4 linked regions of the Lepisosteus oculatus genome follow. The protein of the gene in region 1 binds, or shares a complex with, the protein of each later gene. Links are inferred from orthologs where the notes say so. Each region holds a gene or a part of one and is shown in the gene's direction. Other genes may lie near its edges.

What was found.
Region 2: plrg1 (region 1) and scnm1 share a complex: the UniProt entries of both Homo sapiens proteins name them as parts of the minor spliceosome. The link is inferred for Lepisosteus oculatus from reciprocal best matches to the Homo sapiens genes PLRG1 and SCNM1.
Region 3: plrg1 (region 1) and snrpe share a complex: the UniProt entries of both Homo sapiens proteins name them as parts of the minor spliceosome. The link is inferred for Lepisosteus oculatus from reciprocal best matches to the Homo sapiens genes PLRG1 and SNRPE.
Region 4: plrg1 (region 1) and armc7 share a complex: the UniProt entries of both Homo sapiens proteins name them as parts of the minor spliceosome. The link is inferred for Lepisosteus oculatus from reciprocal best matches to the Homo sapiens genes PLRG1 and ARMC7.

Annotation. Positions count from the first base shown.
Region 1 is NC_090696.1:24,675,518-24,683,991, forward strand, and holds the start of plrg1 (pleiotropic regulator 1), read left to right. Parts: upstream 1-5,266; 5' UTR 5,267-5,382; coding exon 5,383-5,391; intron 5,392-6,839; coding exon 6,840-6,946; intron 6,947-7,928; coding exon 7,929-8,068; intron 8,069-8,248; coding exon 8,249-8,302; intron 8,303-8,427; coding exon 8,428-8,474. UniProt on the Homo sapiens protein: Involved in pre-mRNA splicing as component of the spliceosome. Component of the PRP19-CDC5L complex that forms an integral part of the spliceosome and is required for activating pre-mRNA splicing.
Region 2 is NC_090722.1:5,084,701-5,092,308, reverse strand, and holds the start of scnm1 (sodium channel modifier 1), read left to right. Parts: upstream 1-4,215; 5' UTR 4,216-4,287; coding exon 4,288-4,338; intron 4,339-4,603; coding exon 4,604-4,674; intron 4,675-4,992; coding exon 4,993-5,081; intron 5,082-5,641; coding exon 5,642-5,739; intron 5,740-6,456; coding exon 6,457-6,557; intron 6,558-6,757; coding exon 6,758-6,909; intron 6,910-7,196; coding exon 7,197-7,332; intron 7,333-7,608. Other genes in the region: lysmd1 (lysM and putative peptidoglycan-binding domain-containing protein 1), read right to left, coding at 607-787, 2,206-2,537, 2,718-2,897. UniProt on the Homo sapiens protein: As a component of the minor spliceosome, involved in the splicing of U12-type introns in pre-mRNAs. Plays a role in the regulation of primary cilia length and Hedgehog signaling.
Region 3 is NC_090700.1:38,045,090-38,052,827, reverse strand, and holds snrpe (small nuclear ribonucleoprotein E), read left to right. Parts: upstream 1-4,345; 5' UTR 4,346-4,475; coding exon 4,476-4,529; intron 4,530-5,070; coding exon 5,071-5,097; intron 5,098-5,525; coding exon 5,526-5,588; intron 5,589-6,730; coding exon 6,731-6,809; intron 6,810-6,964; coding exon 6,965-7,020; 3' UTR 7,021-7,250; downstream 7,251-7,738. Other genes in the region: zc3h11a (zinc finger CCCH domain-containing protein 11A), read left to right, coding at 1-290, 420-598, 743-1,017, 1,310-1,526. UniProt on the Homo sapiens protein: Plays a role in pre-mRNA splicing as a core component of the spliceosomal U1, U2, U4 and U5 small nuclear ribonucleoproteins (snRNPs), the building blocks of the spliceosome.
Region 4 is NC_090704.1:32,755,732-32,764,233, forward strand, and holds the start of armc7 (armadillo repeat-containing protein 7), read left to right. Parts: upstream 1-5,109; 5' UTR 5,110-5,195; coding exon 5,196-5,197; intron 5,198-5,715; coding exon 5,716-5,813; intron 5,814-6,102; coding exon 6,103-6,246; intron 6,247-7,193; coding exon 7,194-7,531; 3' UTR 7,532-8,502. UniProt on the Homo sapiens protein: As a component of the minor spliceosome, involved in the splicing of U12-type introns in pre-mRNAs.

The DNA of each region.
Region 1 (8,474 bases):
TTTAAAATAAATATAAATATTTTATTTTTAAATAAAATATATAATTTTATAAAGAATACTATTGTAAAATGTGACAAACATGAAGTGTTATGTGTATTAAATAGTAATTTTCCCTGAAAGGTTTATCAATCTATATTTATATTTTAAATTAATTAATTAATTCCACAGGGTGCTTTCATTTATCAGTATGCTGTTAACATATACAGTACTGTAATAGAAGAAGGGCCAGACTTTTGAGAACTGTTATCTCATGTTTTTAAAGAAGAGCCAAGCCTAAAAAGTGTTCAATCAAAAAAGAAAAGCATTAAAGAAAAGCATTTGTGTTCTCAGCTAAATAAACTGACAGTCTGGACCCAAGAAAACAAAGGGAAATAGTTTATGATGGATCACAACAGTGTTAAAACACTTGAACAGTGAAGAACACAATAGTGAAAACTTTCGTTACCATGTAGCTTCTGTAACTTTTTCTATAACCTATATTACTGCCTGTTTGAAGCCATAGAAAATATTCTTTTAGTGAAATAACTTAATACCTTAATATAATGCTTAAATACCTTGAAGTAATGATGTGATAATGAAGCATCGGAACTGTTTTAAAAAATGTTTCAAATCTGGAATAACATTATGTGTAATGTGACTTAAATCAAACATCTAAGTGGCAGATATTTCCATGGGGAAATGCATCACTTGCAAATTGAAGTGTCTATGTAATTTAAATTAACACAAGTATGTAGACCACAGTAAATGAAAAGGTTGAAAGTAAGACATTTGAGTATTACATTGTACCCAAACATTTTTTTAAGTACAGCAAAGGATTTAAATGGTTAATGTTGGTTTCATGAAGCAACAAAGGATAAAGAATGTACTTTGCTTGACCAAACATTGCCTAAAACAACCAGCCCTGAGGTATGCAAGCACATCACAACCTGATGTCAAGGATGAACACATGAAAGTTAAACAACACTGCATTCTGTTTGTTTAAGTTTGGTATAATTCTGAAATACCTTCTCTGGCAACAGTTAGCTTTTTGCCTTTATCAAAAGATACTTAGCATTTTAACACAATAAAGCAGTAATTTATTTCTTTAACAAATGGATAATGATGCCAAATCTGTGTGTCTGTAAAAGTCTTTTTGTAGTATGCCAACTATCTTATAAGCCAATAATTACTTGATGCCTTATCTAATGACTTTCAAACAATGCAGATGGGATGGAGAGTATTTACTGTACCTACTGTAAATACAGTAATGACAGCCTATACTTCCTTCATTGTTAGAGTTTTACATACAGTATATTCAATACAAACAATGCATTTTATGACAGGTTGGCACTGTGCATCACAAAAAGAATCAACATAGATCTGATGTATCTACCAGTTCTAATATAATTGCACTTGAATTTCATTTTCATATATATGTACTTCAACATTTTTAAGAATAATGTATATAGGCTAATTGTATCTTGAAAAAAAATGTACATTTTAAACCTTTGGTGGCTTTACTCATTAGATGGAATGACAGCACCATTTCCTGTTTTGTTATGCAGTATATACAATAAACATATAATATTTTTATACTGTTTTTCTTCACGTCATATCAGCAGGAAAACATGGGCCTTCTATGACAGCTACGTAGGTACTTGATGTTCAATTCTTTCATTTTGTTTACTTAATATTTCAGAAATATTGTGCAAGCATACATCCAGTCGGTTAATCACAGTGGACTTATTTGTCTGCCAAACTCCCACACAGAATCTAAACATTTAAATCATGCTGTTTTTATGATTACTATTTTGAAATAAAAATGTAATGAGCACATGGCTTTTAGTACTCAGTATCATAGGAATTTAGTTAGATAGTGAAATTAACTAAATGAAACTAAATGAAAATGAAAAACAACGGTAATTGAGAAATATTTGTCCACCTACTATAGGCTTAATTATCGCATTAACAGAAAAGCAAATAGGTGCATTGATACCATGATTGTCAAGTTATTTGATCCTGTTCAGATCCTACACAGGAGAGCTTTCAGTCTATTTATTTTTTATATATAAAACCCAGACTCTAAACAACAAAATAATAACAAAATGATATCTCATAGCTACCACACACCAAAGTGACTGCATGTACAGTATGGATCTTTTTTCTAATCATAAAAAATGACTTGCATTTTTATAACACTTCTCATTCCAGATTATCTCAGCATTACATTTAGGACATTGCAAGTTGAATTTTTTAAAATTTCAGCAATCAATTATCTTACTGTTATTTTACTATTTCTATAGTGCCATTTCATATTAAGCACTACAGTATATGAGAGCCTTTTAAAAAGTTACATTACAATGTGACTCATTGTATGCTTAAAATACAAGGATAAAATACAATTTTTATTAAAGTTAATCAGCTAAATGAACAAGCTAATGTATTCCAACTTCAGCCAAATGTTTCTAGGACAAAAAGAGGTGACAGATTTAAACAACATTAAATTTAAGAACTGAGAATGGCATTAAAAAAAGAAGGGACAATTATAAGTGGAAGGCAGTCTAGAGAACAAAGGTCATCTTGGCTTGGATTACTGGAGCCTTTTCTTCAAGGGAAAGCAAAAACAACAGGTTTTTCCCAATGCAGATTTCAACAAAGAGAGGTCAGGCATCAATTTTATCATGAAAAGGGGAGAGTTTTGAAATTACATGTAGTCTTGGGTAGACACTGGACTCCTGTACATGAAAGGTGAGTCAAGAAACAAACATCTTTACTGAAACTTCTTCCCTGACAGGCATAAGTAAAAACAGACCTTTTTTGTTTAAAGTGACGATTTATATCGTCCCTCATGACTTGTTTTGTGTTATATTCTTTCAAACCTTCTGCTATCTTAAGTGTAGGTAGCCGTTCACTTTACAAACTATTCATCCTTTATGGAAATGGTTTTAAAACAACACATACAGTGTAGCTATTTCAGTCATTTTGCTTTGCATCACTGAATGCATTCTTCTGCAGTTTTGTCCCCTTCTTCTTGCCTACAACAGCACCCTCCTAGCTCATCTCAAGTCTACTACCACCTCCCAGTGGTCTTTCATCCAAGATGATGGCTTTCTTACAAAGCCATCTCTCACAACCTTTCAGTGTATTCAATAGAATCTTCACATAGTAGCACAAAACAGAAAGGCCCTTCTAGTACAATTATAGAAAAGCCTATGGCAATGGCTACATTTGATGCTGTATTTGTTCAAATGCTTCTGATGCTGAGTAGAGGCATCTTATATGGCAGCATGGACTCCCCTCCACCACTACCAATGTGCAGCATTCACCTGGATGATGCGACGGCAGCCATAGTGCGCCAGAACGCTCACCACACATCAGCTATCAGTGGGGAGGAGAGCAGAGTAATGAAGCCAATTCATCGAAGGGGATTATAAGGAGGCCATGATTGGTAAAGGCCAATGGGAAATTTGGCCAGGAATGCCGGGGTTACACCCCTACTGTTTTCGAGAAACGCCCTGGGATTTTTAATGACCACAGAGAGTCAGGACCTTGGTTTTACGTCTCATCCGAAGGACGGATGAGACGGATGAGACTCTATATGTAATACCTCACATATAGAGTCAGCCACTATCAGTACCTGCCTTTACTGAAGGAATGGGCTCCTGGATGTCCAGGGGCATAACATTTTCCTATGTGTCCTTTGTTTTCCTGCGGTCTGTCTCCAATAAGGCCTTGAAATGGCTGAACTCCAAAAGCTCTGAGGATGCCACCCCTATGGGGTGTGTCTGTCGTTTCCTCTGACTGCTGCCTCTCATCACCCAGTTATCTCCCTTTTTTATGTTTCAAGCCTGCCTACTCATGGCATGCACACAATCTCCCTGTAGGACACTTCAACTATTGCCTGCAAAACCTGTGTTGCATTGGGGATCAGAGAGCTGAGTTTCACTTCCTTCATACTGTATGTCTAGACAGTTGTTTCCATCAACTGTCTTGTTATCTCTACCACAATATTCTCTATACAGTCATAAATGTTATCATTATATTAGAGTGTACTCTTAAACATTGTAATACTATAGTAAAAACAATATAATCCATTGGCTAAAGGAAAAATTCACTGTTATTATTGCATGCTAGAGACTTTGCAGTAGCAATATAGGCACAAATTTATCAGCTACTGTATAATGGTCAACACATAAAATGAAGAGATTAGAGGGTGAGTTGTGTCAGTGTGAAAGCTGCAAAGGAACAAGCAAAGTCTATTTCCATAGTGAAAACTAAACATAAAGAATAAACACATTTTGGATGTTGATAATTTTTTATACTCTACTTGCCACATCTAAAAGCTCCACAGCCTTTTTTCATACTTACTGTAAATGCATGTATTTATTAATATGTGAGCTATGAAATGTATGATAAATGTGAAATCCCTACACAATGTTTTATCAATTCTCAAATCGTTACTATTATGCGTTGTTAAAAAAAAAACAGTAGAAACATATTTGTATGTTTACTTCAGTTGGTTTATTTTTAGTAAATAGTTTTAATTCTCCATTGTCCAAAACCTTGGTCTCCAATACTGTCCCGGAGAGCCCCAATTGAAAACATTTCAGTACCTATAAGGTATTTTCCAAAGGCTTGGAAAACATCTGTGAATAATTATTCAGGTGACTCGTTAAATTCTGTATTGTAGAGTCCACATGAAACAAAATTCTAAGTACTGTACATTCTAGACCTCAGCTAGGACCAGGGTTACTTTTATTGAATAAATTACTTTCTTGATTGACCAATCTGTTCACAAGCCTCAGAAAAGTGTGACTTACAGTGATCTACAGAATTTAGGGGACTGGACCAGGGTCTAAGATGCTTCTGCTAGAGCGTTTGGTGGTTCAGTGTAATTGTAAGCAATCGTAATTTCTTGTATTTTATAGCATTTATTGCCCATGTTTATAATGATGGATAATTTTTTAATTATTTTAATTATAACTATATATTTGGTATATTTTTAGAAGTTCTGTGGACATTTTTTGCTCTTAAAAACTACTGTATAACATCGGTATATACGTTATTGTAACAATGAAAATTGCACCACAAAATCAAATGTAGAATACATATTAATATTCAATTAATGGCAACATTTACTGTATGTATGTACTGTAACACTCTTAACGAATATATTTTTGGCCTCCGCTACAGTAGAAGTCGCTATAGTACCACTCAGTAGGAGTGTGTCGATCTCCTAACAGTCGAGATTTGATTATCCCCGGAAGCGGAAATGAACGCAGACTTTCCTTCCTCCTGTATTCATATTGTGTGCGCGCTGTTATTTGTTGGTGGTACGTTTTCGAATAGTTAAAAAAAATATATTTAAAAAAGTAATCGAGTGAAAAGGATTTGTCTTCAGCTATGGTGGAGGTAATTAATTGTTTATATTCTTTCTCGTTTTGTTCTATGTTTTGATTTTTCAAAAGGAAAATATGTTTGAACTTTGAAATGAAATGTATTGTATAGGCCAGTATAATGCATACGCTTCTTTCTTTTGTTTTAAAAGGTACGAATTAAAGGTTATATAAATTAGAGACTATAGATCAGTTGTTTTGTTGTAGAATCTTAAGTAATTAACATCTTCTGTAGTAGTTAAGATTTGATTATGGTTATGTTTTCCCCCCTCTGGTGTCTTACTATGGTGTTTTAGTTGTGTGTGATTGCTCGATAAATACGAAATAATTGGCTGAAGCGGAATCTGAAGGTCGTAAAACGGGTCTTAGTATGGATGTATGCGTCTGAATAGCGATACGTTTATTTAAGATTTTCAGTCAGTTTTCATTGATGTACTTATTTGTAAATATAAATCAGTATGTCAGTCTACTTGGGTAGAGAGAAGACTCTTAAGAACATAAAAGGTTACAACATTTTCTAGTTAGACGTTTACTTATCCACGTATATCATCCCGCGGTTTCTTGAAAGACTCCAAGGGTATCGGCTTCAGCAGCGGCGTTGAGTAGCTGGCTCTGTGTGCCCCTTGCCTCTTCTTCTGCATTTTAAACGCTTGTTTTTAATTGTACTAATTTTGTTACATCTTCTCCTTGTTAATTTTTTCTCTTATGGTAAAGCCCTTTGATAAGTTCCTTTTAAAGAAACTGTCTAAAATAAAGTTTATTATGATTGTTCCATACTCCCCCAACCCTCTTTGTAAAGAAGTGCCCCACTTTTTTTTCACTCACTTTCACGGAGTTTCCACCCGTGTCCTCTGGTGTTTCAATATTAATTTTGAAGAAATAATCTGGGTTGGTTTAGCAGTGACGTTTTCGGAAGAGGATTTTGAATGCTTGCATCTAGTATTTTATCAAATTAATTAGATGACAATTGGGGTGATATGTGATCCAGGCTTGACGTTTTGACCCACATGTGCAGCACATTGTAAAAACATTATTCTTCCACCTCAGAAATATTGCCACACTATGTCCTATGGTGTTGCTAACTCTTGCTGACAAGCTGGTCGTCACTTTCGTTTTCAAGTTGGTTAACCCAAATTGATTACTGTCTTGCCCTACTCGCCAGTGTCTAAATCCACATTGAAAAAATTATTATATGTTCAGAATTCAACAGTATCTGTTGTATGCTCTCATTTTATTTATTTTTTCTGTAAGGTGCTTTGTGAAGCCACAAAGTCACTATAAAATAAAGGCATTTAAAGGCACTACATAAAATAGTTTCTTGCTATTAACTAGTTAGTGTGGTTAAAACAATTCAATAGATTTTCAAGAACCTATATTCAGGCTGTGGTGTTTATTAATATACTGAATTGTAGCTGTTATTCCAGAAATGTTTTACAATCATGCCTGCCCTATAATATCTTCTAGGAGGTACAGAAGCACTCTGTGCACACACTGGTGTTCAGATCTCTCAAGCGCACTCATGATATGTTCGTGGCTGATCATGCGAAGCCCATTGATATGGATGAAGAAAGGTGAGGTTTTAAATGTATTAATAGATACTATTTGTAGTATTGCTACATCTTGAAAACTTATAAGATCTGTCAAATCCAACTTTACAGTTTTCACTTTCCAGTGGATTTCAGTGGTATTCTTGTTGTTTGTGGTGGCTGATATCCTAAGACTTGTTGAGCTTTGTCAGCATTGTAATGTGAAGAAAAACTACAGTAAATCCTTCAAAGCGTGTGACCCTCTACATCAGGACCACACCAGGGACTCCACTACACTAGTTTGATTTAACCAGCTCTTGGAATTGCTTTATTAATCATAATACTAATAATTTAGCGATGAAGTAATGATCTGGTGGTAGCACAGTTTGGTATTGGAGTGGAATGTAGAGCCTATAGGTTGTGTAGCCCTGCTCAAGATTGTAGGTATCTCATATCTTACATGAGGTGTGTTTAAAAATAAGATTGTATTACTTGTGTGCTGTGCTCTCTTAAATTTTTAGTAGTAAAGTAAAATCAGAAACTGGGAGCAGAAAATAATTATGCTTTAGGTACTGGTATAGCTGTTTTCATATCTGGAATTTTGAAGTTGTCCTTGTTTGAAGATCTTTAAGTAAGGAATAAGAATTATTATACATTATGCTTAGAAAAATATACAAGAATACTAAGCATGTAACTTGATACATAAAATGGTCTCATCCATAAAATGGATCTCCAGTCCATTTCATGTAGGGCTGGTGTGCTTGCAGGGTTTCCATGTCTCTTTAATGCTCCAGCACCTGAATAAAAGCTGGGAACATCTGTTAACATGTCCAGATAAGTCACAAATGATATGTTAAAGGTTAAAACGAAAAACTTGTGAACAAGATTGGGGACAGCTGTTTTTTTTTTACTTGAGTCCGCAACTGAGTGCAACTTTTTAATGGTGTTTTCAAGCCCATCTAATTCATTTTGTTATAAAGCTTTGTACTGAGTTGCTCACATTTCACCTAATGCTATCTTATGTCAGCCACAAGGTCAAGATGGCCGTCAAGTTGCGTACGGAGTACAGTGCTGTGCTGCACATGCCAGTTTTCAAAGAGGGCAAAGACAAGGGCTCCCTCCAGATCTCTGACCCCTATGGCCAACAGAACTTCTCTGCAAACCCTGGTAAGTGTCTCAGGTTACAGGCATTTCTTCAAAGGTTTTTATTTTGTTTTTGTGTTGTCTTGTTGTTCTTGTTTTGTTGAGTTAAGCCAGTTATATTGCAGAAACATTGAGAGAACAATGACCGGATATAAATAATAAGAAAAAAAGAATCTGAGCACCTTTTCATTTGACTTTTTTCAGGGCATGATCCAGAGTATCTTATTACTGGAACTCATCCATACCCCTCTGGACCAGGTGTGAATTCTGCTCTTTTCTCCAAATTGTTTATCCTTCATTATGAATTTGATTATATTGCTGCCACATGCTTTTTATTATATTTTGCATATTAACAGCATTTCACTCCCTCTTCCCTTTCGCAGGTATAGCCCTGACTGCTGATACACAGGTACAGAAAATGCCTAGTGAC
Region 2 (7,608 bases), on another chromosome or scaffold:
CTGTGAAGCCTTCTTCAGTTGGCCTGAAGAAGGGTCTTCAGGCGTCTTCGGGGAGACAACCTGAAGAAGGCTCCACAGCCGAAACGTTGCGTTTTCTCTTTTCTCTTTTCAGCGTGGAGTAAACCTATTACTTGTTCCTTTGCAGACTACGCATGCAGCTACCCACCTGAACTACAGAACATATCTGACCTGAAGTACAGAAGTCACGAAATAAGTCGAAAAGTTATTTCAACACAGAAAACCTACAAGGAGTCTTTCTGATGTACTTTTACAAGGAGGATTCCAGCACGACTGACTGGGTCAGGCGGCATGCTGGTTTGCTGTTGTGTTTGTTTGCTGCTGATCTATTCCGAACGTCTTCCTTTCACACTTCGTCGTGTGTCTTTGCCAAGCTGGAGGGGGGTTCAGTCCTGTGCTCTCTATTTCCCATATCTCGGGCATCCAAGACAGCGGTTTAGCCCGCCGAGCTACCCGGGCTCATGCAAGTGTGAGCCTTCCCTCCTTCCCTCAAAAAACAAGTCAGAAATCCGCTCGGCACCGGTATCCCAGGACCTCCGTGCTGAGGGGGGCGACAGAAGAGCGAGGGGGGGGGGGGCGGGGGTGGCGTCAGAGCTGGAAGATCTCGTCCTCCCTGTCCCTCAGCCCGTTGGCGCGCTTGGTGATGGTGAGCGGGACGGGGCCCAGCGTGGCCCCCTGGTGCACCCTGGGAGAAGAGGCGGAGCTCCGGAGCTCGGCCCTGCGGTTGGCCGAGGCTCTCCGGGGGCCGGCCGGCTCAAGTCCCACCAGGCTGTGAAAGCAAAGGGGAGGGAATTAAATCCTCTGCAGGACTGCCCCCGGGACAGCGTCTATTTGGGGTCTCATTTCACCTCGTCGTCTCCTTCTGCTTCCTGACTCCCTCCGCTTCCAACAATAACATCCTTCTGACAACCTGAAAGAGGGAAATAAATTCTCGTCGCACCCCACAACCTGCACTCCGGCCTGTTGCCTGCGAACCCCTGAGGAAGGCTCCCCAGCAGGGGCGCAGGGTATTTCCTCTGCTGGGTCTGTCGGGCAGTCGAGCATTAACACAGCTCACTCTAACGTCTACTGCAGCACTACAAATGACCACACCACCCCTGGAATGGAAACAGAAACTCCTGCCCCACAGGACTCAGGCCCAATTCAGGTTTCAGAAGGTGCAATGCATTTACCTAAACGTCACTTACTGTACATGCTAAAGCAAGGTTATTTAAAGGGGAGCTGCAGCGCCATTTTTATATTTCGGGGTTCGGAAGAATCAGCATTGATGAGGGCATTTCAAACCACAATGAAAGCAAAATATACACAGTAATGTATTAAACCTCCAATTTACACCACAAAATAGACAAAATGATCCAGGTATGCGCAGTGCCATGTCCTGCGATTGAGAATGAGGCAACAAAACTTCCAGTAAGGTGAAAAGGCCCTATTACACTGTAAACAAGCAGGCTTGTGAAAACAATCTCCTTTAATCCAATAGAAATATGGCTCTCGCCTTCGAGAAGGTTATGCTACAAATACTACTTGTTAACTCTGCATGCAGATCTCGTTGGAACATTTCAGCAGTGAAATGTCTGCAGCACAGTCTGTACTTATTCGCTCGTACATCACAGCGTACTAGTCATTACAGGGACTAGTGAGCAGGAAGGGCTGCCAACATGTTGCACAGACTCTGTGGTGAGACCAGGAGTCTGCGACAACATGGCGACTTACAGTACTTTCACCAAGTTAACAATTCTGTGCTTGTCACCCGTAAAATTTGTTTTAAGCATCCAGGTCTTGATTAAAAATGTTCAATTGCTAAATTGCAGAACTGGGGCCCTGGGTTCAATTCCTGACTTCGGGTGCTGTCTATGTGGAGTTTGTATGTTCTCTCTGTGTTCAGATGGGTTTCCTGGTGGATTAATTCCCTTGTGGGAAAATCGGCCCTGGTGTGAGTCTGCCTGCCCTGTGACGGACTGGCGTCCCATCCAGGGGGTACCCCGCCTTGCACCCACTGAATGCCGGGACAGTCACCAGCTCCCCCCCTCCCCCCCAACCCAGCCTCTTGCAAGGAAAAATCGAGCGGTTAAAAAAAAAATGGATGAATGGATATTCACTTTGAAAGAACTGTGCCTGCATCATTCGTCCACTGTAATTAAATGAAGCGTCATGGGACACCCAGCTGTCCAGTCGGCCGGCACTCACCCCTTCTCTCCCTCCCGCATCTTCCTCACAGCTGCCTGTTTGGACTGGCTGATCATGCAGTCCATCCTCTCCAGGAAGTCCCTGGCCGACAGGTCCGAGTTCACCCCAGTGCCGGGCACCTCCGGCTCGCCTTTCGTCTGATTGGCGGACGCGCCGTTCTCCTTCAGGTCCTCTCCGCGCTCCCCGGCCGGCGATTGGCTCGTCCCCTCGCCCGCCGGCCCCGCCCCGCCCCCCGGAGGCTCCAGGTCCGTCAGCACCGGGATCGAGAGAGACTTCTTCAGGAATATGGAGTCGTTGGTGTACAGCCTATTGGCTCTCTTGATTTGCTCCATCTGCAAAAAAAAAAACACACACACCACAAAACAATCTTTGAATCAGGAATTTATTCATGCGAGTGAGGGAAAATATTTCGCGAAAAGAGCCACAAAAGTTTCGCAGAGCCCAAGTTACATGACCTCATGAACTCTCCTGCTCAGGCGAATCTCAGAAACCAACCCCCAGGTGGCACTCACCGTCACCCCGTACTTCAGCGCCAGTCCCTGAAGCGTCTCTCCGGGCTGCACCTGGTGCTCCACCCGCCTCTCTCGCACCGGCGACCGGGTTGAATGCACCAGGCTGCCGTAGGAACGGGTCCGGCTCCCGGAGAGGAGCGCCTCGCCCCCGGCAGAAGCAGGGAGCCGTCCCGAAGACATCGCCGATGAAGATGTCGCCCTTGTGCCCCCTCTGTTTTTCGTCTTAGTCCAGTTCGGTGGTCTCCGGATGAGGCTCCATCGAAAGAGTCCCCGGACCCTTTCAAGCTCAAATGCTGTATAGGTCAGTGGACCTCCCTGCGCCCATCAACAGCGTGTGAAGATACTTCTCTTGAGAGCACAAAACGTCCGGTTACGAATTTCTAAAATGTTTGGGAGGCTCGGCATCACACACAGACTCAACAGCGGGAGATTTTTTGAGAGAAGTGTGTGAGATCGGAACTACAGGAAAGCCTTCGCATGCGAAGTACGGTTTAAGACCCCCAGTGGCTCGCGGTTTGCAGGACGAAAAGCACCAGGCTTTAATTTGATTAAAGAGACGTCCGCGGGACCGAACAGAGAAACTTGGGGTACCGGTTTCACTGGACGGGTCTGTTTTATGCAGACTAGCTAAGCGCTAGCAACCGTCACCCAGTTAGCTAAACACAAGGTTCTTCGATTGTGCAGGGTTGTTTCCTAAGCGTTTCTGATCTGTTTTTATCCCGCAGATCCATCCCTCGAGCGGATGTACAGTACAGTGTATCGACGCTGGAGTAAAAGCTACTTGTACTGTGGCTAAAATAAATACAACGTACCTGTTATTTATGCGTCTAGCTATAAATTCCTCTAAATTAAAACGCCTGAAATAGAACCCGTAACAATCGCGAACGAGGTCCCTGGAACTGTCAAAAATAAAATATCAGTACCAAAGCAAGTCTAAAAATGAGTTACTCGAACACGTTTTCTGTTTCTGTTCGTTGAACATTCTCGCGTGTGCATTTTCTTGTCACTGTCTTTCCCGTGTTTTTTGTAGCGCATTTTGTTTAAAAAACCCGTTTCATCATAGTGACGGAAACCTTAAATTATAACATAACGTCCTCAACGCCAAGCTTTTTACTACATACAATCGTACTCGAAATGAAAGTACCCTAGGAGTTGTAGTTCTGCCTAATTCGGAGAGTCGTTGGAACAACGAGATAGACATGACTTAAAAAACTACAATTTCCATAGTTCTATTGGGCGTGTAAGCTAGGAATGTTGGGAAAGGCGAGGCCCCACAGTCCCATGGGAACTGGAGTGTGCATAGAGAAACAAGCGGGACGATTCTATAAGTAGGGTACATCCCTCGCCCCATAATTTGCATTAATTAATTATTACTTTTACAATAACAAGACTTGCAGTTGTATTTATGCTGTCCCAGTCAGAGGTTTCACAAATAAGTAGGACTCCCAGCACCCACTCGATAGCCATTAACACTTGAAAAACTACAAGTCCCATCATTCAGCTGGCGGAAGTGATGTTTGTCCGATGAACGAAAAGCAAGGCTGAGTACTTTTCTGGTGTTCTTGTAATAATGTCTTTTAAAAGGGAAGGGGATGACGCTAGTCAACTGAATGTCCTCAAGGTATGTTTTGTTATTTAATATTTCCAGTGTTTTCTACTTGTGCTTTCGAAAAGGCCGATGCAAACATAGTAAAGGTGCAGCTGAACGAAGCTAGCTATTTCTCTCCGAAAAGTAGCTCTAAAGGGGATCTTAACTTTGTGCCCAGAGTGTCTTTCCCTGCTTTTGCGTCTTGATGAAGAGATGTGTAATTCAGGGATTCATCTGAAAGGCCCTTTCAATTAGGCAGGCTGGTTCATTCCCATTGAGCCTCTCTTCTCACTGGCAGAAACGACGCGTCGCTGATCTCCTGTCCAACTTCATTCCCGAGGACGAGGCCGTCCTGATGAAGAACGGAAGGTAATCCCACCTTTGCATAGCGCCGCCCTAAGCAAATTACCCCCCCCCCCCACGGCTCAGCCTAAAATGTGTCCAAGTCGATGTAGGATGTGTTTTCCACACTGGCTATAAAGCCATCTGAAACTTCTGGGCTGTGGCATCAAATTGATGCTTGCAATTACCTCAGACCCCCGCCCCCCAAAGAATGAATGCATTTATTGTTTGGAAGATGATACACTGCAGATGAAGACTCCTTTATCTCTCCCTTCAAGGCAGTATGGGATCGGGAATCTAGCCTCTAGGCGCCCTCCCTCTCCGCCCCTGTGCTCTCCTCCGCAGGTACGCCTGTTTAGTGTGCTCGTCCCGGCCCGTGTTCGACACCGTGGACATGCTGGCCGTCCACAGGAAAGGGAAGAGACACCTGGAGGGTAGGTCTCGCCTGTTCCAGACCGGGTACCGGCCGCATGCAGGACTGCACTCCAGTCTGGGAGCTGACCCGGGAGAGATCGTTTCTCTAGAAGACTAGGGATGTTAATCCTGGTGTCCTGGCCAAATTTCCCCCCTGGCCTTTAACCCTCATGACCTCCCTCTCTGAACTGGCTTCATCACTCAGCTCTCCTCCCCACTGAGAGCTGGTGTGTGGGGGGCGGACTGGCGCAGCATCCAGGTGGGGCTGCACACTGCTGGTGGTGGAGGGGATCCCCATTACCTGTAAAGTGCTTTGAGTGGAGTGTCCAGAAAAGCGCTATAGAAGCGCCAGGACTATTATTATTATTATTATTATTATTATTATTATTATTCCAGCGAGTGAGTGCTGATGAGGTCGCCTGGGAAAACCCTGGTGAGCCATGACCCCCTCCACCCCCATTTCAAGTCAAGAAGCCTTATTGAAGAGCTTAAATTGCGGGGGGCTCCTCCCCCCCAGCGCAGGGGGGTCCTGTGGCCCAGGCGCTCTGAGGGACGCGTCTCCTGCCCCGTGTCTCCGCAGGGCTCCAGTGGTCCTACAGGAAGAAGCGGGAGCTGCAGAACGAGATCGAGAAGCGGCGCCACCTGGCCTACGTGCGCCAGGAGGAAGCGGGCAGGCAGGTGAGCTCAAGCTGCTGTGTAATCAGACGACCACCTGGAAGTCTCACATATCCTTAGTCCCCCTTTAACTGAAGCTGTAGGATAGAAGAACAACCAGAATCCTATTCATATGTCATTTTCTGCTACTTATTATCATCATGATAAACACTGTTTTATAGAGCGCGTTTAAAAGTAGGCTGCTCAGAACTCCTTACAGGAAAAGAAGAGTTCAAACAAAAGAGAGCAGTAAAAGACAGGAGATTACAGAAGTAACAAGAAGAAGCACAAGGGATTAGCAGGAGAAGGTGCAAGGAGCAGACACAGATGCCGATTAAATAGAAAACAATCAGCTTTCCGGGGAAGAAGATTTTGAGTCTGGATTTGGAAGTGCTCGGGGAAGAGGACTCTGGGATGCTTGGGGAAGGAGCTCCAGAGCTCTGGGGCGCAGTAAGGGAAGGCCCTGGCTGGCTGCTATAGAGAGTCACAGAACCCTAGAAGTGTTTTATACTGCAAGTGCCCCAGGCTGATTGTTCACAACTACGAGACTTCCGCGACTGAAATGTCGGTCCTCTTCCCTTAGCTGGGGACTTGACTCCAGGACCAGTCCAAGCCCCTTCGCCTGAGCAAGGTCGTGCAGCTGTCAGGCGTACGAACCTCCATGCCTGAACAGGTACGTTGACTCTGGAGGACGATGAGTTTACGTTTCTCTTCTCCTCTTGCCTTGTCGTTGCCCTAAAGGAGACAGCTGGTCCAGCTCCTCTGCTGGCCCAGACACGCAAGATTACCCATCATGCCTTGCTGAAGTCCACCCCCTACAACAGCTGCCACCAGAAGAGAAGGTAACTGGGATTGTCTGTAAAAACCTTCAACAATAAAATGGTCAGAAAGCTTGGAGCCCTGTCTGCCCTGCTGTGGAAGGGTTTTCATTTGAAGTATGAAGTATACATTAAAATGCATTGCAAAAATACTAGGCTTCTCCTTGGCTTTCATTTGAGCTCTTGCCAAACAGCTCAGAGAGAAATGTGTGTTTTTCTTACAGCAGCAGGTCTGAATCAAACTCCAGCTGTCCCTCACCCAGCAGGACCCCTGTTCCCAGGAACCAAATGTTGCAAGCTCAGTCAGGGGGGACATCAACGGCTGACACCACACCAGTGACCTCACTTCCTGGACACCATAGCAACAGTGCACTAGGTGCTCAATCATGTGCATAGCTCGTAAACATATTCACCTGAAAGAATGGCAGTTTTAAATGTAGCATATGCGTTTCCTGTCTGCGTTCCTATGATAGCACATCTCTGTAAGGCACCGGATATAGTTTATGGCTACTCTCATGGCCTTCTAAGACCTGAAAGATAAGTTTACATCATAAGGCAAATACAAAGCCTAATTTGAAATCTTATTGTGTTCGGCCCTGCTTCACGCTATTACACACTATTACAGGGCCCTGCTGTAACTCCCTGCTCTCTTACCTTCCCCAGAGATCCCGAGAGAGGGCGTCCCCGAGCGAGCGAAGGAGAGCACGAGAAAGAAGTCCCGGCCTGCGGCGGCTTCCGAGCCAGATCCCGGGGCGGCACAGAGGCGCCAAGAGATGGAGCACTACCTCAGGCTGAAAAGGTAACCTTCCACTTGTGCGAACCTACAGGAGGTGGCCTAGAAAAGGCATCCGCCCTATTTTCCGGGCCCTTGGCCGGTATCATTTCCCGGACACTGACTTACTCATCCTGCAAAAGAAGAGCGAGGGGGGAAACGTCAAAGCGGATGGCAAGGCAATGGGGCTGGAGAAGAAGATCCTCCCACTGGTACAGCGACCCCCGAATGCCTGCCGTCTTCGTAACTTACTTAACGCATCTAACGCCATTGCTGTGAATGACCCCGAAAGCTGCAGTTCTC
Region 3 (7,738 bases), on another chromosome or scaffold:
AAAAGAGACTGTGCCTGTCCCAAAAAAGGAGCAAGGACCTGTGGCGGTTGAGAAGAAAGACTCTCATTCTCCCGAGGATTCAGCTACTACTTCAAAACAGACACCCATCTCGCCTGTTATGGATGGCCAGGGAGGCTCTTCTGCAGCCCAGGTCCCAGAGGCCGGAACACTTTCCTCAGCTGAAAGCCCTGGAATCTCTTCCCCATTAACCCCTAATCCAGAGCCTCAGGCTGAGAAGTCAGAAGAAGCTGCAGCTAAAAGATCCACCACACATCCACCGCAACCAAAAGGTAGTACTGATTTGGTGCCGTGTTGACATTGTACAGAGTTGCACGTTATCAGTTTTTTGATAATTTTGGTGTTTAACAACTAATTCCAAAAACTTTGTCTCATCCTTCTCTTTCTTATAAACATTTCAGTGAGGCCCAAGTTGAATGTGAAGCCGTCAGTGGTAAAACCAGCTACCCCAGTTAGACTTGGCCAAAAGCGCAAAGTGCCCGAGAGCCACCGCTCTGCAGTTGCGGCTGTCAAGCCTCTGAATAGCGCCCCCGCAGCATCGGAGGAGCAAGAGCAGGATCTGCTATGCAGGTGGCCTGAGGTGAGAGCAAGCAACTACTTCACTCTTTTTTTCGTAGTTTGGGCGAAAACAGGAAAGGATTAATTACTAAATATTTTTAATTAAATATTCTTGAGTCAAACTGCAATTTGAAAGTTCTCATTTTCACAGTAATTTTGTTTTCAGACTCCAGCACTCACAGATACAGAGGCTGACATGACATCATCGCTCCAGAGCCCACAGATCGCAGAACCTGCAAAGAAAGCCAGGACCCCCGTCCCAGAGTCCCCGCGGCAGGACCCCAGCACCATCCCCCAAGAGGAGCCCGACAAATTGTCTGTCACCCAGTCTCCTGCTACCCCACAGGCAGAGCCTCAGAGACCACCTGCCCCAGAGTGTGAGCTGCCTGTGCCCAAGCCTAGTGCCATCCCAGCCAGAGATACTCTGTCAGTTCCACAGAGGTAAAACTGCATCCCTGATCACAAGCCTTTCATTTTAACACTGCTTAATCTTGGGACAGTTCAAAATCCCTCTCTGTGTTAAATTTAGTTATATTTAAAAGCACTAATTTTAAATTTTTAAAATGACTTATTTTTTTCCCAGTGCTGAAGTGGACACTCCCTGTTACGGTTTTCTTTCTTGAGAGCATTACTGTCCCTTCCATCAGGCTTTTAAAAAAATAATGTCCTTCTTTGCTCTAGGTCACATGTTCTTTCTTACTTTAACTTTTCCTTTCTGTGTGCCCACCCCCAGCTCTGCTGCAGTGACGAGCCCGCCAGTGCGTGCCACCCCCCTTGCGAAGACACGCCGGCTGAGCTCGGCGTCCTCACGGGTCCCAGGAACGGAAGTCGATGACTTTGAGGAACTGATCAAGGAGTTTGACGACGGCCTGGACAACGAGATCGAGCTGGACCCTGCTAAGGATGACGAGGATCTGCTGCTGGAACTATCTGAGATGATTGGCAGCTAGGGGCAGGGCAGAGGGTCCTTTTCAGTTTCTCTTTGGACAGCTTAACAGTTGCTACCTTCACTTAGATGAAAAGGGCACTTTTTTAAACAAATTGGCTGGCTTGTGGGTTTTTATTCCCCCTCCCCTGTATTTTACCTTAAAAACTGACTTTTTAATGAAGTTTGGAATGGTTTACCCAACATCCATTGGCGGCCCAATGTTAACATTTTAATGCTAGAACTTCAAATGCAGTACCTCCAGTGTGTCTCCTCAATGGTTTTTACGCAATCAGGAGGTATGGTGGTTTGCACTGCATAACGTGAAGTTCAGGGTGCTTTTTTGCTTTTTAAAAAAAGGTATTGTAAAAAGCAGGGAGATCTTTCTGTTTTTTATTATTTCTTAAGCTCCCTTCTTTTGTCTGTATAGTAGTTGCTACACATTTAACATTTAAATGTCAAGAATTACACACAGTGTTCCCAGAGGGAATTTTTATTGGCTGTATTTGCATTTTTTGTTTACTGGTTCTATGTTAATCTTTCACTGATGGAAAAATGTATAGCATAAAGAAATGTGAGAATCGTGTTGAAATACTGCTTCAAAGAAAACACCATTCATATTCTGTTCATTCTTCAGGTATAGAATGGAAAAGCCTGCTTTAGGAATTGTGACTACTGCCATACAAAGCAGTCTTACACTTACTGTTAGATTCACTATCTTTTTTGTTTAATGCTAATATTGAACATCTTTCAGTGCTACTCATAATCTGACCCACAGCTTGACCGAAACATGTGTTGATGTATATTTGTCTGAATTGTATGCTTGCCATGGGTGTCAAGTGCAGAATAGTTATTTTCACCTTCACCTATTATTCTATATAGGCTAAGAAGACTTTGAGCTTGGAAATAACTGAGATTGTGGAATGGAATAAAACAAGCTAACAACACTTAATTTTAGGATTTACTGATTAGCATTCACATTTTTTGCACCCAGCCCTGCTGTCCTCTTGAAGATATTGCTCAACATGGCTTCATATCAAGGTTTGCAGAGCTATTTCCCCAAAAAATGGAGTGACTGACCTGTAACTGCTTAATTGCCTGTTATTGCACACACATCAGTGTGTGATTTGTACTCCATTATATTGTCCTGGAAGACCTCCAAAAAATGTTTATTTGTAAATCTTACTGACTGTACTGTGAACACAATGGTCTTTTACATGTGGGGTAGGATGAAATTTGAAAAAAAAACAGATAGACCTAGTTCAGCCAGGTAAAGGGCTTGTTCTGTTACAATATGTATATCCCTTTAAGTGGAGTCTGTATTAATTACGAAATGAGCACTACTTGAGTGGAATTTATCAGTTTAGAGGGAGGGTACATATCCGCGTTTGGTGGAGTTTGCCATTAAATCTGCTTGGAACTGTCAGCTTGTGCTGATAGGCAAAACTGAGCTAAACTTCTGACAATGGTTATTTTATGTACACGTAAAGTAAGGAAATAACTCAAGAGTGTCAGCCAACAAAGTCAGTGCAGTTTGTGGATTGGATTTCAGTTCTCTGTTACATAGTGCACACCAGCTCTAGTGCAAAAGCCCTTTTCACACATCACCAGTGCAGCCAGTGTGCGGTCTCTTCCATTCTTTGGAAATACTGTCTGCAGCCTGTTGCATAAGGCATACATCTTCACTTCAAAAAACAATTATAGGATTTGTAGATGATTCATTACATTGGAAGCACTAGAGGATGGAGGGGTTTTGTAACTTTAGCAAACAGGAGATACAAACTAAAAACACAAAAGGCAAACCCAGTTGCTTTAATGTAATTGTGTACTATAATTTACATCATTTAAAGAGTGTCTTAATCTAAAATGTGGTGCTGAAATTCCACTGGGGACCATGTTTTAATTTTTCAAGAGTGTCGTATCATGTTTTATCTCAACATAGTGCTGTGTTCTCCCCCCTGAAAAACTAGTAGTTTATTTTACAATCTTGAAGCTTCTCAGGGATGACTGTCTTTTGTGGAGGGAATATTGTTTCTCATTTTTCTTCTGCACTGTTCTGTATGAATGAAAGTATATGTACTCTAGTTAAAACATTTCAGTCGGGTGTGTGTCACCAGGCTGCGGATGTTTTCAGAAAGTGAAATAGGTTGTGTTCATGTGAGGGAAATACGTTTATATTTTATTTTTCTCACCATTGACCACAAATCTTAAAAGTGGCTATATTGCTACATTTGAGATGTATGGTCTGTTAAGGGGGCTGGACTGGGTTCCTTGTCCTATTTTCTGTGTCAGTTAAATTTCTGTTCTAATTAAATGCCTGTATACCATTTCCAAAATTCACTTATTTGTAAATAAAAAATGCCTTTTTCAAAACCATAGGTTTGTTTGCATTTTCAGTGGCACTCCCATTTATTGCATATTTTTAATGATAAGCTAGTAAATGGAGGCAAAAACATTCTGTAATTTCTGTCATTATTGATACAAAAACACAAAGACCTGCGGAGTTAGCTTCTGTCAATCGTCCATTTAATTGGGGCTAGATATCATTCTAGGTACCTAAACATTTATGAGAAATTAGGTGGTAATTTTCACTTCCGTTTGGCGAAATATTGCTTTTAGGATGATATTGTCTCTTTTTTACAGTTCTTAAACCAAAAAAACTTTGTTTCGTATGTCCTATTTCCGTAGTCGTACTGTGCAATTGAAGTATACAATTGTAATGGTATAACGACCTCCCATCAGCAGATGGCGCACACATTTTTGTAGCTTACCGAGGCCAGAAACTTGATCCTCCAACGTCCCACGCTGCTTTGAGGTGACCCGGAAATTCCGCCATTGAAGGGAAGTTCAGCGTGGGGGCACCGTCCGCAGAGAGAAGAAAAGAAGCGCGGTGTTCGACAGGAAGACCGGCCCCAGTAATTCTGTGAAAGTTTGTTTTTAAAGTTCTTTTTGAACCAGCAGAACTTACAGGACTATGGCGTACAGAGGCCAAGGACAGAAGGTTCAGAAGGTTATGGTGCAGCCGATTGTATCCTTTGAAACACATAGTACTCTGCGTGCGTTGTGTGAGCCGGGTGTGCATAAATGTTGTGTAGTTTGGCCTAGCTAGTAAGAACTCTTTTTATGTCTACATTGTCGGCGTTCGTACACTGCTATTTACGTTTGGTATGTTGACCTGACTTGTCGTATGCTTCTATGTGATTAACAGACTGATATACCCCTCTATTCGGTTAATATGTACGTTTTTTAAAATTGAAATAATTTGTAATAGTTTCAAATCAGAAAAGGGCATTCTACAAATTGTTTATTCAACTCTGGCCTTACCCAACATGGCATAATTCGCTAGTTTTTTGTTTTGGTATCACGAACGTATTAGATTCTTAACAGTAAATGATTCAGAAACTAGTAATTGGCATGCGCATTTACATTATTTGCTTTTTATTTATATCGCGTGTGATCTTAAAAGTGTGGATTCCCGCTGGAGACCGAAGGCTTTATTCATTTAAACTGATAAAGGAGGTGATGTGAGAAGAATTTATTAACTAATTTTCCTTGACTGATCCCTTCAGAATCTTATCTTCAGATATCTTCAAAATGTAAGTTTTGTTTCTTTGAGTTACTTTCAAAGTCATTAGTTAGCCTTTGGTTGCATTTGTTCAATGTATCGGCTACTTCTACACACGGATTCTCCGTTGAAGACCCAGGTCTTTCAAGTTTCCATGCTTCCAGAGCAAACACGTAATTACAAAAAAATATTTTTACATGATCGTGCTTATGATGTGCTAGGTGCCTGTGTATGAATGCTGAGAATGTATTCCAAAGAACATCATTAACATTTTCTGTAATGAAGGAGTCGGTGATCTGAACATTTTGTAGCCTGCCTGTATGTAACCTCAGTTAAAGAATCTGATAAAACAGTCCTGACACTTTTCACAGGGTTTTCCTGTCACACTGGAGCGGGCTTTTAAGCCTTCAACCACATCTTTCCTTCAGCTAGTTCACTCCTGTTCTCTCTCCTCCTCAGCGATCCAGGATCCAGGTGTGGCTGTATGAACAAGTTAACATGCGGATAGAAGGCTGCATTATTGTGAGTGAATCCTGAGCTCTTCCACAGAACTGCCCCTTTTCTCCAGCCCGGTTGCTGTGCTTTCTGCTTCTGATATCACACAGCAGGGTGTACCATTTTTCCATGACACAGGATTGGATACAGATCAGGTTTAATGGCAGTTTGATACATTTCAGGTTTTATAAGTAGTTTAAAATGGCAGTTGCTACTGCAAATGTATTGGAAAGGGGGTGGCATCATACCTAATATAGGACCTGGCACTTGGTTCTGGCTCCCTTAAAAGAACATGAAGCCAGGCTCAGATGAACTGCTGTTGGTCCAATTAAAAGCTGTTACATTGCTATAGTGTAATTTTGTGATAGTAGTATATACTACTCTCTGTATGGGGGGTTGTTCTCAATGTTCTATTCCAGGGATCTCCAACTAGAGTTCTCAAGACCCCAATCAAGCAGGTTGTATGGGTCACTATTACATCTCTAAAGAGATTTAACGTTACTATTGGGATCAATCTTAACAGATGGTAGTCTTAAATGACCTCTAAATCATTGAACTGATGAAAACTGGAATGTGGATATTTATTCTTTGTACATTAATTGGATTTCTTTATTGGAATGGACAGTTACAAGAAAATTGTCAATAAAGCATGCACATATTTAACAGAGACAAATGTTATAGAAGGGTTTTGAAAGTGTAAAAGTCTGGAAAAGGTCTGGGATTTGTCTATGGGAAAAGAGCAAGCACCGTGAGAGTCTGCAAGTTTTCCTCGTGTTCATGTGGGTTTCTGACAGGTGCTCCAGTCTCCTCCCACAGTCCATTCTGGTAGGCTAATTGGCCTCAGGGACAATTTGACCCTGATGGAAATGTGTGCGTATTTCTGTTAGTGTGTGCATCCTGCAGTGGACTGGTGCCCTGTCCAGGGTGTATCCTGCCTGTGCCCGTTGCTTGCTGGGACAGGCTCCAGCTCCCCAGCTACCCTGAATTTAAAGAAGCAGTTAGAAAGTTCGTTATAATATTAGCCAAGGGAAGCAGTAGGTTTTTTGTGTTGCTGTTTGCACATAAATGAATTTTCTGTGAAGATTAGGTGTGTCATTTTTGAGGGATCTACATTGACTAAATCCCACTTCTTTTTCCCTGACCATCTCTTATAATTTTGTTCATTTTAGGGTTTTGATGAATACATGAACTTGGTGCTTGATGACGCTGAAGAGGTTCACATGAAAACAAAAACCAGAAAACCCCTTGGTAAGCATGTTTGCATTTTTTTTTTTGGTCTTGATGCCCATGACTTTAGCTTTTTTTTTGGTACTAGTCTACATTAAAATGGCTATATGTCCAATTTAGGTGATGCTGAAACAAATACGTGGTTAATCTGAATGACCTGTTTCTTTCTCTTGCAGGACGGATAATGCTGAAAGGAGACAATATCACCCTACTACAAAGTGTGGCGAACTAGTGCACCCAGAGTATCCCTTGTTTAATGGCCAATAGTTTCTTTGATCGGTTGTAGCTGTTGTGGAGCAGGTGATGAAGTGTATGTTGATGGTCATAAGAGTAATTTAGGCTTTAACCAGCCAACTGTATAACAGACAGATGTATGCCGAATGGAGTCTTTCTGACCGCTTATTTTGTATTTTCTTGTGTAGTGTGTACCAATAAAACTGGAGTGCTTTTTGTAATCCTCTATTTTTATGACCAAGGTGATTTTATTTTGGGGAAATTGAACTTTAACATGGACTGGAGAGCACCTTTGAAACTGAAACTGATAGGAAAAGTGTGGACATTCCATTTATGTTGGGAGTGTTCTTCAGCCCCAAGTGATGATGCGGAGCAGTTGGATGTTGTGAAAACTATTTTTTGTTTTATATAAACTGCTCCATTAAAGGCAAGCAGTCTCTCCAGGTCTAAACCCTGGCTCTGTCTCCTTGCTGGTTTACTATGTTGCTCGGCCCTTCCTAATCACTGCTTACATCTGTCTGTATTCTTCCTCCCTGCTGCAGCACGGTTTTTATAAACCACAAAGCCGACATTCACATTCTGGAAGTTGATAATCAACCCTTTATTAACTCAAGCGCTGTATGTGCTCTGAGGAGGGGGAGGGGGGTAAAGTGATGTCTTCAGGTTTTTTCGCTGGTGACTGCAGCATCTTCTCTCCCACTGTAATACAGTAAAAC
Region 4 (8,502 bases), on another chromosome or scaffold:
AAATGAGAGTATAAATCACACATTTAGACATGAACAAATTGTATATATTTTGCAAAGGAGTTTGTGTAAATACATATAGGTAATAAAAACATTTTGGCCACACACTAATTATTCTTGCTGAAAAGTTAAGGAAATACATCTTACAATGTAAAACTAAAAATTTTAAAGCCATTTACCGAGAAGTGAAAAAAGAAAACACTTGAAGCTTTTCATAGATGTTGTTCCTGACCTTGAGGCTTTCATTTTACATTAGTGCACTACTCAACCTTGTAATGGCGTATTACAAGGAAAAATATTTTCTTATCTTTGAACTCTTAGGAGTCAGTTTAGTGATATACTCCTTCCTATACATCATTCTCGTCACAAAAGTATCTGGGAATTCACAGAAAATCTTCACTTGCCAGGTTTGCACAAAATATTGTTGAGAGATTGAGCAACTCCACAGGAATTGAGGAGCTGGCTGCCAGGTTGTCTGTACAGCAGTGAGAAGCTCAGCCTTTCCTACAGACAGGACATCCCCTGAGCTCATCGAGAAGCCTGTCTCTTCTCTGCCAGCTCTCCCATTTGCTTCTGCCGACGCTCCAGAACCTCTGCCAGCTTTTCATCGTATTTGGCCTGTTCTCTGGCACGAATCTCTTCCACTTCAGGGAAAAACTTGTGTCTGAAAATATAGTTAGTATTGTCTTTTAAATTATTATTTTGATGATGATGTTTTGCATTTCTGCAAACATAATGAACCTCCAGTAGCAATATAAAGACCCAGCCATAGCTAAAAAAAAACGCTACAGTGCTACTTGAAAGTTTGTGAACCTCCGAGTGGTTCATTTTGACTATAAAATTTTTGTTTAATCAAAACTAGTCCTCCCTAAAACAAAGGTTTATGTCCACAAATTCAATGTATTGTTCAGAGGAATTTATGCATGCAATAGAAAAAGAAATAGGAAAAGAAGATTTAGGGCATGTGCTAAAGTAAGTGAACCGCAGGTTTCATTAGCTCAGTCAACATGGTAAGTATAACCAGGTGCTAAAATAATTGGGTACCAAGTTAAGCAATCAAAGAACCAATCACCTGAGCAAAGTCAGTTTGGTGCTGTTCATACAGAGTAATGTAATGCACCATCCCACAATCTAAAGAGACCCCAGACAAGCTCAGATGAACTCAGGAAGAGTGTTGTCTGCTCACCAGTCTAGAGAGGGTTATAAAACCATTGCAAAAGGTTTTGGAATTCATCAGTTTACTGGAAGACAAATAGTCTATAAATGGAGAAAATTTAAGGCCACGGTAACTCTACCTAGACGTGGATGTCCTTCCAAATTATCCCACAGAGCAACAAGAAAACTCATCCTGGATGTCCAAAAGAACCCTAGGACCACATCCAAGCATCTCCAGGCTTCTCTTTCTGCAGTTGATGTCCATGTTTATACCTCAACAATATGACACAAGCTGAATAGCAATGGTAGCCAGAAGAAAACCTTTGCTCTAAGAAAGGAACATTGCTGCACATCTTAAGTTTGCAAAAGACCATCTGGATGATCCTTTAGGTTTCTGGAAGAATGTTCCTCAAAGCAGATGTGAAGGACTTTACTAACTTTAGGAGCTATGACTGCAACCAAACAATTCCTAAAGGGTGTACCACTGCTAGCTGAATTAACTTTCACTTACTTTTGCACACAGGAATCTTTGAGCTTCTATTAAATAAACATGCTTTATTTAATAAATAATGAATATATGTATGCATGTCCATTATTTGGGTTATATTAAATAAAAATTGGAGTGCAGATAATTTTCTTAAGAGTATAGAGAGAGATTATATACTTGATGCTGCTACTATAACACTGCTACTTTAGTTACGTTTCCTGGTCCACCATTTTTCACACTTTAATACATATATACAGCTCCCCCTAAAAGTAATGGGACAGTAAAATCATAACTGTTGTTTTTGTCTTACAGTCAAGCAGTTTGAATCTATGATCATCAGATTAATATGAAATTTCATGCATATATCTGACTTTAACTTTAACAAAACCATACTTTGTGTTCAACCCAGTAATTTCAAGGTATCAAATGTATTCTAATACATTCACGTTAAGTAAATTTCAGAGTATAAATGTTAAGTTGCATTTCCCAAAATACATATCTCAAACCTAGTGAGTTCTCCAAATTCCATTTAAACATTTGAGATTCCTTTTCTAGATGAATTGAGGTGTTCCTGTTGAAAGCCTTCAGCTTCAATAATAATAATAGCTTACAGTTGTATAGCACTTTTCTGGACACTCCACTCATTACCATCACAGGTAATAGGGTCTCCCCTCCACCACTGTGAAGCCCCACATGGATGATGCGACGACAGCCATAGTGCACCAGAACGCTCACCACACATCAGCTATCAGTGGGGAGGAGAGCAGAGTAATGAAGCCAATTCATAGGTGGGGATTATTAGGAGGTAAGGTAAGGAGAAACGCCCTGGGATTTTTAATGACCACTCATTAAACCGAGAGTCCTCGGTTTTACGTCTCATCCAATGGACGGCGCCTGTTTACAGTATCGTGTCCCCGTCACTATAATGGGGCATTAGGACCCACATAGACCGCAGGGTCTGCCCTGTCTCTCTCACACCTGAAGAAGGCTCCACAGCCGAAACGTTGTGTTCTCTTTCTTCTTTTTTTCAGCATGGAATAAACCTATTACTTGTTCCTTTGCAGCCTACGCATGCTGACGCAGCTACCCACCTGAACTACTACCGCCTACAGCTGCTGCGACCCACTATGCCTTCCTCCAAATCTTTTTCTAGATCTCTTCGTCATACCTTCTCTTCCTCCCTGGGCCACTTGCCCGCTTCTCTCAGCTGATAACAACCCGGTTATTGATGTCATTAACAACATTAATCCCAAACAGAGCTGTTGGACTCCCTCCTCTGGCCGTTTTCCACCAGTTGATTATTTCATTAACCAATGCACTAATCAAGCTCCCAAGACACTCTCTATACCCAGTAAACATAGGTCTAACCTCACCCAAGGAGAAAATCAGGCGCTCCAGTCTCTCCGCAACAGGGATGATATCGTCATCAAACCAGCGGACAAAGGAGGTGCTGTTGTGGTGTGGCGTAAGGATCTATATATCTTTGAAGCCTCTAGACAACTAACTGACACTTCTGCCTACCTCCCTCTCCAACAGGACCCTACCACTGACTACCAAAAGGAAGTGGTATCCACCATTTCCCTTCTTATCAGCAGTAACGAGCTCCCCCAGGAGGCGAACCGGCTCATCATGGAACATCCACAGGTATCTCAATTTTACCTCCTCCCCAAAATCCACAAACCGGACACCCCTGGACGCCCCATCGTATCAGCATGTAACTGTCCAACTACTTACATCTCAGCCTTTCTCGACAGCCTCATGAGACCGCTGGTTGAAGATCTTCCCTCATACATCAAAGACACCAACCACGCGCTCCAACTTTTCAATGATTTCCAATTTCAGGGTACCGAATGCCACATTTTTACCATGGACATCACATCTCTGTACACCGTCATTCCCCATAATGACGGCCTTACAGCACTCAAGCACACGCTGGACAAACGCACAGTGCTTGATCCACCCACCCACACCCTGGTACGCCTTGCAGAATTGGTCCTCACACTGAACGCATTCTCTTTCAATAATCTTTTTTACCAACACACTCAAGCACACGCTGGACAAACGCACAGTGCTTGATCCACCCACCCACACCCTGGTACGCCTTGCAGAATTGGTCCTCACACTGAACGCATTCTCTTTCAATAATCTTTTTTACCAACAGGTCATGCCATAGACATGATTATGATTATGCCATAGACAGGGCATAGACCCTGCTGGCCCCACTAACACCTCTTCCAGCAGCAACCTTAGTTTTTCCCAGGAGGTCTCCCATCCAGGTACTGACCAGGCTCACACCTGCTTAGCTTCAGCAGGTTGTCAGTTGTGAGTTGCAGTGTGATATGGCTGCTGACATGAGAGGCTTTCTGATATAAAGGTCAATCAGCTGCTAGAAGCTCGGTGATCCGAGGGTCTCATCCTGCCATTTCGTGGAACAAGCCAGGTTATGAGCTTTAGCTAAATGAGCTGGTAGTCTGCGCGAGAGTCCCACAACCAGTACTTGAACTAGAACCAAGAACTCTGCCAAGGTCAATAAACCATACAAATGATCAAATCCATGAGTTCAGTGAGCACATTCCCAGGTCAAAAGTAAGGCAAAAATAAAACACCAGACTATTTCGGTCAACAAAGATCAATGATTTGTTACTTCTGCAAGAGCGATGACTTCGTTCTAGCACTCATAGGAATCCAAGGTTATGACTTTCTACAAAAGGATAATAAGCTTCCCGGAACATCCCAAATGGTATATATAAATACCTTGAGTATTTTGCAAAGCTCTTTAATTTGCTATTCATCACAATAAATGAACAATGTTGCATAAAGTAAAAAGCGTTTATGAAAATATATCTGTTCGTCCACACTAATACACACCTGTTAACAAAGGCGATGGACAACCCAATGAGGATCGTCCCAAACAAGACCGGCTTGGCAAACCGCTTGCCGGCAGACAATTTGATCTGTTTCATGTCTCTGCTATACGAAGAAATACCTAGGCAAAAACAAAAATGAGTGCCACTTTCTACCTTAAAAAAACAGAGCAACTAGCTTCACGCTTCTAAAAAACAAAACGCAACTGCGCTCTCCTCCTATAAGCTCCGGCATAGAACACATGACTCAGAGAAACAAAGTTCCGTCCACCAGAGTACAGCCCGAGTTTTCCGTTTATACACATCTGCAGCTATATACGGTTTGTATATGCAATCGCATCATTGTGCAGTTTACACCCGCTACAAAGACATTTTGAATTTTATAACTTGTCCTCTCCTCCCATTAATAAGAGATATTTAATTACAGTTTTCACTGGTTTATTTTGTCATTAGATCTTGTAGTTTTGTGGAACTGGAATCTAAAAGCCAATGCGTTTCTGTCGATCGGGGGAGAACGACTAGGACAGGAACGGAAGTAAATACAAAATATAAAAATTAAGGTGTGTGTGGAAGGGGAAGGCAAAGGTGGATGAAAAATGGGTCGTCGATAGGTAAATAAAATAGTTTAGTGTAATAAATGTATATTTTTTTATAATGCAACAAAATATCTAACAGACTAGCGTAGCTTTTAAATGTAAGTAATTTGTTTTTTTTACTTTTCAGTTTGGGCATTATTTGTGGTATAAACACTTTTGCTGCTAATCCGACACCAATATGGAAAAGCTTTCGGTTGATCGTAAATTTATAATAAAATATGGATCCAACAGTGTTCAAATTCTAACGTTTGAAAAAAAAATATGACACTTAAAATCTGTGCAAAGAATTCCGTACCTCCCTCCTTCCCTGTATGTGAAATTGATTTAAATGTGTATCCTGTATTCATTCTTGAGCGTAAAGAAGTAATTTGTTTGAAATACAGCAGTATCTTTCATGATTTTTAAATACTTCAGTACAACTCCATGTAATCTCTTTGGTTCAAGTAATATATTTTAAATTGAGTTTAAATTATTTTGCATGCTCTGCTTTGGTGTCTTTCTAGTGTGGCAAAACGCTGCTTTTCACAGTATAGGACACACTGCCTTAATTTAAAGATCAAGATAGTTCTGAGGATTATGCTGTCTATGCTGAAAATGTTTTTTTTTTTTGCTTTAGGAGTGTGATGTTCCCCAAGAAAGGTGACTCCCAGGGACTGGACAGATTTGAGTATCTGCAGGCTCTGGTCACAGAGTTCCAGGATACTGACAGCATTGGTATGAACTTCTGTTTCTTTTAAAATATGTTATTAATTTTTCTGCACCTTATAGGCACTGACCAGCAGGCGGTGTTTGTAGCTCTTTTATTAAGCATTGTCAATGAAACAAAATCATGTGGAAACCATGTTTTCGTAGGATTTCAAGTAACGTAGTAGATTAAAATATGGGTTACAGCGTTTGAGATGCACCGCAATGGTTACAAAAATGTTGTCCACATGGAAATATGTGTTGGTTGAATTATTGTCTATTCAAAATCTGTGAACGTTTATTTCATTTTCACGTTTAGAAGCCAAGACACAAGTATTGGCAAACTTGGCCAACTTCTCCTATGACCCCAGCAACTATGAGGCCCTTCGCAAGCTTCAGGTGATCGACCTGTTTTTGGACATGCTCACAGAGGACAACGAGAGCCTGGTGGAGTTCGGAATAGGTAAGGAAGACTTTGAGAAGAAGATAGAAATGAAGAAGAAGAATGATGATGAAAAAAGAAAGACAGTTCTAGAAATCAGAATCAATAATATGTCTTCGTATAACTTAGTATAACTGCAAACAATTATTAGATTATTACATTAGGGCATTTTCTGCAAGAGATTTCTAAATGGCCAGTGGAGAAATGTGTATATATATGATAATGGGTACACATGTGCAGGTGATACAGAAACTTCTGTTATAGAAAAAGGTGTGGTTCAGAAGGTTGTGCAGGTAAGGTGCTTGGTGGTCTTATTGTTGAAAATCATGTTGTATAATATGTTGATTTTTTTAAATTAAGAAAGAAATTCTACAAACCTATTTAAAGAGTGTGTATATATATATCCACAAATAAACTCCATATTTCATAGTTTTTTTGTTTGCCTAAGTTTAGTGTAAAAATCCTCAACTAACAGTAACACCAACAAAAAGACCTTGCACTCCTCACACTGATAACATGCAAAAGGTTTTTTAGAAAAGATGTAAACCCAAAATACCTTTATTATATAATCCTGACCTAGTTTTGTCACCTCGACTTTGACATTTTGAAACAGTTAAATCACCTGTAAAGTAGGAAAGGCTGTTGCTGTTTCTCTCCTAAATATAGCAGCTCGTCGGCAAAACACCCAACCATGAATGGATATTTACTACAGTTAGTACTGTTCGGGTACTTCAGGGGCATCTTTGCAGGTGAAAAACTGACTAACTTTCCAGTGTTCCAGACAGAATGCAGGCTGTTTATTAGGGGTGATTACATATATGGCCCTGCATGCCATAGGTTCGCCATTGCAGCACTATAGGTTGGCACTCCTTGAAGCCTAAACAATGTAATAGAGAAACTGAACAAAATGCATCACAATTAACCTGATGCTTTAGTACATTTATTTAGCAATTTCCATGTTTTCACAGGGGGTCTGTGTAACCTGAGCCTGGACAAAACCAACAAGGAATACATCCTGCAGAACGATGGTGTGAAGCTGGTGATTGGGTGCCTGTCCAGCCCCAATGAGGAGACAGTGCTGTCTGCCATCACCACTCTGATGTACCTGATGACTCCTGCCTCCCGCGAGGAGATCACCGATATCCCCGTGGTGGAGTGCATGCTGCGCTTCTCCCTGTCTACAAACCGGAGATTAAGCAATCTGGCTTCCGTCTTCCTGCAGGACTACTGCACTGCGGAGAAGGTGCAGAGAGCCCAGAGCCTCCAGGGACACTCTGCTGTGGGCATCCCACTGCCTCAGGATTAGATCTGCTCTGCTCCTAGTGATGCCACTGTCTTCTGGTTTTTGTTCTAGCCCAACTCTAATTGAACTAATAATTTGCATATTTGGATATACCATCTAAACTCCTTACAGTTCATTCCTCTCCTAACTGTCTCCCTGCCCTCTTCATCTGACTGCTGCTGCCCCTGAAGAATGTCTGTCAAGCCAGGTGTGTCCAATTTACTCCAGTTAAGGAAAAGAAACTAAGCCTCACCTTGTTCCATCACATTGTAGAAGGTCTTGCACACGAGGAGATGAGGAGAAGTGGAGAGGATTATAAAGAAAAGAGACTGAAGATAAGTGGGAGTACAATGGTTGAGGTACGGTAGCAGTGTGAGATTTGGTGCTTCAAATTGGACACAATGCAGCAGAGAGCCAGCAGAGGGTTGGGACCAGTGAAGCAACGTGAGAAAAGCAAAGAAGAGCAAGCGCACAGAGCAGCCCCAGCATTCTGGATGAGTGGGAATTGGTAGATACATTTAGCAGGGACTCTGGCCAAGAACTACTAAAATAGTGTGATGAACACAGGATCACTGTAAATCTGTCAATAGCACTTTTCTCTATAACACTTCACACTGATGTGTTCAGTGCACAGTGTAATGTCCAGTAGAGTGCAGCATTGTCATTGTTTTCCTTCATATCTGCAACCTCCAGTTAGAATATGCCTGTATTGATAGAACTGTTTCCATACTGTTTAAATGGGTTTCTAAGTGTCCTATACCATGTTTAAGGAAACCTTTTTCTTTTAAGTGCTGTGTATGTTTTAAATGTTATATTTGTTTATATGCACTGTTAATTAATAGGCATTTCCTGATTGGTTTTGGGCCATCTAGGGGGGAAGCCCAGGGCACTTATCTTTCACCCTTCTTCATTTTGTGGCTCTACTGTGTAAGACAGTTGCACGTTGATCAATTTAATAGCTCCAGGACCCCCAGCAAGAATAAGAAGATTTAAGA